2 linked regions of the Oreochromis niloticus genome follow. The protein of the gene in region 1 purifies or fractionates together with the protein of each later gene. This does not show direct contact. Links are inferred from orthologs where the notes say so. Each region holds a gene or a part of one and is shown on either strand. Other genes may lie near its edges.

Evidence for each region.
Region 2: the proteins of fyb1b (region 1) and lcp2a purify together in Homo sapiens (co-immunoprecipitation; 6 studies listed by BioGRID and IntAct, with this or other methods). This does not show direct contact. The link is inferred for Oreochromis niloticus from reciprocal best matches to the Homo sapiens genes FYB1 and LCP2.

Annotation. Positions count from the first base shown.
Region 1 is NC_031972.2:23,608,326-23,612,245, forward strand, and holds the start of fyb1b (FYN-binding protein 1), read left to right. Parts: upstream 1-1,169; 5' UTR 1,170-1,184; coding exon 1,185-1,421; intron 1,422-3,920. UniProt on the Homo sapiens protein: Acts as an adapter protein of the FYN and LCP2 signaling cascades in T-cells. May play a role in linking T-cell signaling to remodeling of the actin cytoskeleton. Modulates the expression of IL2. Involved in platelet activation.
Region 2 is NC_031975.2:32,937,895-32,941,814, forward strand, and holds the start of lcp2a (lymphocyte cytosolic protein 2a), read left to right. Parts: upstream 1-1,031; 5' UTR 1,032-1,711; coding exon 1,712-1,789; intron 1,790-3,848; coding exon 3,849-3,911; intron 3,912-3,920. UniProt on the Homo sapiens protein: Adapter protein primarily involved in signaling pathways within T-cells, as well as other immune cells such as platelets, mast cells, and natural killer (NK) cells.

The sequences.
Region 1 (3,920 bases):
AACTGAGCTTATTAGCTGTTAGCATGCTGAAACTGAAACTTCTCTGCAAATTTTACTTATCATTTAATCTTCTGATTAAATTTCGGTCCACCCAGCTGTAGCTATCGCCTGCAGTTACATATGCGCTTGCAAAATTTAGCAAAAGGTACCCCAGACACTGGACATGCAGAGTAATAAGCTAGCTAATAAAGACTGGCAAAAAAGAAGACTGCTAATGCTGAAGGCAGACAATTCATGAAGAAGTGGCAGACTACATAAATTACTTCTTTACCCTTGTGCATTTCCTACAAGATTATTTGTAATCATCATTGCCATTTTGAATCCACACACCCACAACAACACCTAAGCCATGAAGCATTAACAGAGGTTTTCTAAATGAAGCACCGTACTATAAGTATTCTTTTAGTGAAGCTGTAAAGCTCACTTTCTCACAACAGAAAAACTACACTGTGCATTTACAATTCTTAAATCCTTACATGCAGCCAATTTTCATGTCAGAACTCTGAATAGTGTATGTAAGTAACACCATCGAAGGTCTTTTTCTTCATATTTATGAAATTTCCCATAAAACCACTGACTTATCATTTGAAAACATGATAAGATAAACTTAAAGTGTAAGTGTGTGAAAACACAATTGCATAAAGTACATGAGGCAATGTGATAAATTCAATATATATAAGCTTGGCCCTTTATGTGATTGTCATTTACCAGTTTGCCCCTCTGTGAACTGAATTGTGGCACTTCTGATTTAGCTCAAAGCACTTCTATGGCTTCAAAGAGCCACTAGCATGGATGTACGCTGGTCTTATATGCTTGTCTTTTCTTTGCGCCGCTCATATGACCACAATGTTTCCTGTGCTGTCTACTAATGTTGTTCATTGGCTATGGCTTGTTGTCTTCTCGCACTGCTGACCAAAAACCTTTTCATCATACAAGCTATAACACTTCTTTAACACAGTTGCTATGGAACAGTTTTGACTGTGGCTGTTTTGTTTTGTTTTTTCATTTTGACCTGCCTCTGACTGAGTGAACATCATTTGTTAAGCACAGAGGGAAACTGCAGGGAATTTGCCAGGGATAGGCAAATCAATGAGATCAAAACACGGAGATAACAGAAGTTGTGACACCCACAGTCACACAAAACACACATACTACTAAGAGAGGAAGTAGTCAGTTGTAGACAGATGCTTATGTCACCGAAAGAACGGGAGTATACACCCCCCCCCTCAGACATACATGCTCAATGCTCAGCCACACTCTTTGTCATTCACTATCAACAGTCACTATCTCAGTGCCTTTCTCTCTGTGACAGAAACAGAAACTCGCACAGAGGCACTGAACAAACACTGAACAAACACTCTCCTTTATCCACCAACCAGTTGTTGACCAACTCTCCGCCTGGGAAAGTTGTCCACAAGATGGTGAGTAAAACTTAAGAAACTTTAATGATTAATCGTCACATTTTAAATGATTGAAATACTGTAAGTGGGCACTGTGGATTTAACAGAAGAAACTTGCTCTTGAAACTGCTGAACTGTTGTTATGTGCGTTTTAGACGGCTTATCGTGACAGGATAACATAGGCTTTGGTATCTTTTAGAAGTCAGCCATACTTGATTATTATTACAAGCTGGTACATTTTCATTTTCTGAGCGAGTTAATGTGTGCACACTGACAAAAGCAGAGTTGTCATATTTGTATTCTGAGCAGTCAACATAAGCTGCACTATGTTCATTTCGGTGATTGTTAAAGTTAAGTAAAGTAAAATGCCGAATTCAAACCAGGTGTTAAAAATACTTGTTAAAAATAGTTTGATATTTTAAGCATTTTTGTCCCAATTTTCTTTTCACGCACTGTGTAAAAAACAGGAAAGTTAAACCTAACAGTTGGGGCTGGTGGTTCTGGGTTTTGTGTCAGCTTGATTAAGCAAGGCACCTTTGCTCTGCACTTTTCATCACACTGTAAATAGAAATCGTGGTTCCTCTTCCTCTGTCATTTCTCAGCCGGTCACTTTTCACAAGGCTTCTGTTAAAGAACAAACATTAAAAAAGAAAACATGTTCGGACGAACTAGCTTAACATCCAAGACTCTGTGGTTATTATGTTATTTGTGCACTGATCCTGCATCATAACAAAGGATTATTTTACATATAATTATTTTCATAACTATAATTACATTAAATAGCTCTGCATTAAACTTATGGTTCAAACCTTTGAACCATCTCAGGCAAGTATATAGCTGCCACACAAACTATGGCAGCTTTGTGTTCCCGTTGAGCCGTACTGCATTAAATGGCTATCCTGTCAAGAGGTGTTTCTGGTATGTGACAAAATTTGCAGGACTTTTACAAAATTGCAACTGCAGTGCACTCGTATCTTGAGAAGAAGCAACTGCAATAATCCTGTACATAACATATTGAGCAATTTATAGCTTACCGCGGTTAAGAAACAGAAGTATTATGAGGGAACTTTCCTCTTTTTCTTTCTACCGATTTAATATTCAACCGCATTTCAGGCTCAGCGTTAACATATTTAACGGTTGATGTTACTGGCACCACTGCATTGAAGTTCCACCCACTGTCTCTCTCAGTTTACCGAGAGATTGGCTGTTAAAGAGCATATGCTGATATTTCTCTCTTCAACACTGAAGCTATGTTGTCGACAAGGGATAGCCGTGTGCATTCACTGATAACACTGAATGCACATGGTGACATTTTCCCACTGCAGAATAAAATGTATCAAATAAAACACCATCCACTTCCCCACTGCTGATTCAGGTCTTTAGACAGTGTAGCTTTTAAAGACTTGAAATTCCCTACATGGTCTGGTCTATGTTCACTGGTGGCAACTAAAGTCATCATCTTAAAGTACTGACAGTAGTACTTCCTGTCCCTCCCTTATTTCCCACAGGATCCCCAGAGTGTTTGGATGCTCATATTTGATTTGGGACAGTTTTGCTTCCTAACACATCCCTTCCAATTACTCTTGCTTGGGAACGGCACTAGGAGTACACCATCTCGTGAGCCCCTCAGACTGGGCTTGTTTTTCCTCCTGGTCTCGAGACAGGAACTTTTTGCCTATAAGATGTTAACTGCTAGCATTTCTGTAGTAGCCAAAATTTTTATGTTTGCTTACAACTTCTGTGCAGTACTGGGGCATTTTGGCATCTGTAAAATATACTGGAAATACAAAATAATCCAAGCAATAAGCACGTCTTCTTTAGAATACTAAAACAAATGCGAAGTTGGTAAAAAAGAAAAGCGTCTAAGTCTTAAAACTCAATATAACGTATATGTAGTATCGTGAAAAACTAAGCAGACTAAGCCATCTGCAAATGCACTTGGTTTACTGATCATCAGCAAGTTTGAGCACCTCAGTAAAAACAGAGGTTTTAGCTGGAGGATTCAGCTATGTGTTAACACGATGACAAACATATCCCAGGATGTACCAGCAAATTAACCACAATGAGAGGCTGAGCAATGCGAGCTCTACATCTCAGATGCTACAGCATGACGTGTCTGGAAAGGCTGAAAGAGAAAGCTTCTTCTCTCTAAAAAGAGCAGAGCAGCACAGCTTAGGTTACAAAGTTGGATCTGAAAAAAATCACAAGACTCCTGGAACAGCGCCTTTTGGACTGATGAGACCAAAGAGCAAATGTTTGGTAATAATAATACGCTGTACCATGTTCGGGGAAAACTAAACAGCATGTTAATACAAGCGGCTCACACTAACTGTCAAGCTTATTGATGGATGATGCTGATGATTTGGGTTTGTTTTGCAGCCACAGGACATGTGCACCTTGCAGTCACTGAGTCAACCATGAAGTCCTCTGTATACCAAAGTGTTCTAGAATCAAATGTGCAGTTTCAGCTAAATCTTGGCTGAAATTGGGTCACGAAACAGATCAATGATGCCAAGCACA
Region 2 (3,920 bases), on another chromosome or scaffold:
ATGTGACCTCAGGGAAGGAGGAGGAAGCAGACGAGGGGCTTTCCTGAGCTAAACTTAGTGTGAAGAAGTGAAACATGAGCGCATCCATCACTCCATCCCTATCTCCAGTTTGTATGGAGACACATTAGTGCCAAAGCATCCATGAGCCCAATGATCTCAGTTTATCGTTTCATTTAAAACTGGCGTTTTAAAACAGATCATCAGTGTCATTGCACCGGCTCGCCCTCTGAAGTATGAGCTCTGTGTTTGCTCTTTCATATAAAATCAAATGTTGGTCCTGTGATAAATAAGCTCTTGAAGAACAACCACAGGTCTAACAACGTGGGACAGGTCCGTGTGTCCCCTCTCCCGCGCTGCAGGTTAGCATCGTGCTGCTCAAACATGAGGGCAACACAGAGCTGCAGGCTTTGACCTGAGCGCTGAGAACGAGCCGGACGCTCCCTGTCCATGATTGGCTGGGATGGACCACCTCCATCATGGTGGAGCTGTAACCTGCACGTGTGGACGGCACGCCGAGCAGGTTTCTGGGAGTGTTCCTGAGGCTCATCTGCTGAAGCTCACGGTCATCGGCCTCGTCCCACAGAGATTCCTCCAGGTTCTCTGAGTATGCAGATGAGGTCACGCTGCGTAGATGATGAGCTGTTCACGGTGAGGAACATGATTCAGGTTGGTGAAGCTCTGCCTCTCTGAGAGCCTCTTTTTATCCCCGATCATGTGACCGAGCTGCTGACAGGTCACATGATCAGCTGGTAAATCTTCTCTTCAGCACGAGCTTTTCTGAGACGGCTCGTTCTCTCACTTTAATCTTTTGTTTTCTGTGTTCGATCACGAATAAAATATGAGCTCTTGTTTTCGTCCCGACTTTTTCAGGTTTGTTCTGAGAGCTGCAGTTCCTCTGACGTGCAGCAGAGGCAGCAGTGAGCCCGTCCCCATAGACCCCCATGTTAAACAGCAGAAGTAAACATTTCACAGCCCGACACACAAACTGTTTGGGTAAACAATACTTTTACTTTGAATACTTGGAGTACATTTTTCAGAGCGTGCAGAGGTGGCTTGACTGCACAGATGCATGCTGGGTAACGGCCTTGGCCTTCAGCACTGATGGAGGTCCTCCGTCGGGCTGACCTGGGGTCGGGGCGGTGCCAGCTGATCCGGGGTTCGTTTGTTCCTCTGTTTGGCATTTCGACAGCGTCGCTGCAGCGAGTGGGTGCAGCTGCAGACGCTGTTCCGCTCTGTGGTCAGACGGGGGGTGGGGGTGATGCTGCCTTCATCCATCCCCCACTTCACTTCCTCTGAGTAAGAGAGAGAGAGGAAAGAGAGACGCAGAGAGAGAGAGACTGAAGGAGTGGAGGAGGAGGAAGCCATTTTGGGCCCGAGTGACATGTCTGCCTGCTCTTTGCTGCCTGCGCTGCCGGACGGACGCTCGTGCAGTTAGACCGGACGACTCGGTTTGGGGAAGTAAAAGCTGAGACGCTCGCAGCTCTTTGCTTTTCTGTCTTTCAGAGACGTCTGAGTCTTCACAGGAAGCGGCGGCGAGGCCCATTAGTCAGACGGTGGGCTGAAGGAGAACAACGGCGCAGAAACTACGAGCCCGATCACTTCCTCCGAGGCCGAGGAGCGAGCTCAAAGATCGCCTCCTTCTCTCAGATGTTAGCGTGCTCTGGGTCTGACAGCAGCCGGGCTGACGTCGTGCCTTTGAGCATCGAGCAGGATGAGTTCGGACCGCATGCCGTCCAGGTCGGACGTGATGGGGTGGAGCCCGCAGCAGCTGGCGGACTACCTGAGAAGGGTGAGGCCTCCATCCGTACTGTTCGTGCGTCCTCGTGTATGTCTTCGTTTTAAGTTCCTCGGGATCCTCCGAGCGGCGGGGTCAGCTGACTCATGCTCAGACGGCGCCGTGACCCAAACCAGAACGTTAGTGAGCACAAACAGCAGAGGCTCAGGTGAGCTGCTGCACCTGCCCGACACGGAGCTCGATGACACGTGGCGACCGCAGCTTCAGTGTTTGATGCCCTGTGTTTGGAACGTTGGCGTAGCGTGCTGATCAACAACATTTCAGTAAAGCTCTGGCTTAGACCTCGCTGTTAGTGCTGTGACCTCAGTGATGATGTCATTCAAAATGCAGAGGTGCAGTTCAGACGCTCAGTCAAACAATGGTAATAATGCAAACTTTCATGCGATTCAAACAGGTGAGGCTATTTATTTCTGAAGCGTCAGACGTGCAGCTGGCTTCATGTGTCAGCCCGATGCTTCAGGTGCTTTGTGCACCTGTAATTAAAGGCTGGACTGAGTAACTGTGGTTGTCTCTGCCACCGCTCAGCGTGATTGCATACAGCTTTCCTGCTGATCGCAGAGATGGTGACATTTTTCTGCAGAAGTTCAAACACTGTGACGTAACGACTCAGAGAAACAGCGGCTTTAACGAGGAAGTGTTTGTGATGCGTTTGGATAAAAGTCCCCGAGAACAGGGACAAAGGCAGCCGGGTGTCAGCAGCAGCAGCGTTAGCCGTTAGCTGCTCGCGTCTGAAGGCGGCTGCATGAAGAGGAGTGAGATGTGACAAACTGCTGGGTTTCCCCTTCCTGTGCATCTCTTATAATCTAAACAGTTTGTCTTACTTCAACTGACTTTAACATCTGATCACGACTGATTATTTTTAGGTCACTTAGCAGCAGTTTGATGGTACAAAGTATCGGAGCAGGCAGGTGGAGCAGATGAAAGCTGTACGTTGGCGCAGAGCCGCAGGAAGTGTCGTTATTTTCCATTTGGGGTTTGATGAGGTTATTTAAGGCCTACGGTGTTTCAGCATGCGTGCTCTCAGCGGAGGCAAAAATAGCAACAGGTGGGAGATAATAACTGTAACTTGTTACAGACGCGGCCAAACATTCAAATCATGGGGTGAACCGTAGAAGAAATCCCTGTGGGCTTATTTTCACTCTGAATGTCTCCTCACTGATCTCTGCACAACAAGCCTGCGGGACGTTCGCTCAGCGGAGACGCTTCAGTCCCGTGCAGACCGTCCACCTCCTCCCAGCATCCTCCTCTGTCACACTCTGTGCATGTCCTCCTTCACTACATCCATGAACCTCCTCTGAGCTCCACCTTTATCCTCCATCTTCCAAACCACCTCAGCCACTCTGATGCACTCGTCTCTTATCTCCATCTTCCACCTACTCCACCCTGCCTGCACTCTGTGCTTCATCAGCATAAAAGACTGGTTCTATCAGCGCGACACAACGTTTCCGAGCGATTCTTTTATAGCGTCTGATGTCAGAGGCTTTTAATGATTGGTGGATGCAGCCCACAGACTCCTTTACCACTCAGGCTGCATCATGTTCATTTATCAAATCTGTTCAAACGTGGGCTCGTTCTGCACCAAGAAGAAGAATCGCCTTGACAACACGACACGTGGAAAAGAGGCTGATGCCTGTTTGTGTCGAACCAGCTCTGTGAGCTCATCTCACTGATGCTGACGAGCTGCTCGTGCTTGGCTATTTTTTGAGAATCAGCAGGAAAGCTGAGGAAATCTGTGTGGGACAAAATGACGCTAACGCTTTAGTCCCGTCCATAACCAGTTACAGCTGAAAGTCTGGAGTGAGGCGGTGTGGCCAGCAACTGTGACATCAGAAACTGATTCTTATCTTTGCTTTGCGTCACTGCGTGTGTTAGTTTAGATGTTTCACATTCACAGAATCGTCTGCGGAGAACATCACGTCCATATGTGAGGAAGAATCAGTATTTCCTGGAAGACAAAAAAGAATCGCATAAGAAACAGTGATAATAAAATAATAATAATAAATAGATGTGTTCATATTTGAATGATATGTCAGCTGTGACGTCCCTGTTACAGATGAGTCTGTCCGGCTGTGACAAAGTCGTGCTGAAGCACTCCATCTCTGGTTCCAGATTTGTGGTGAGTTCA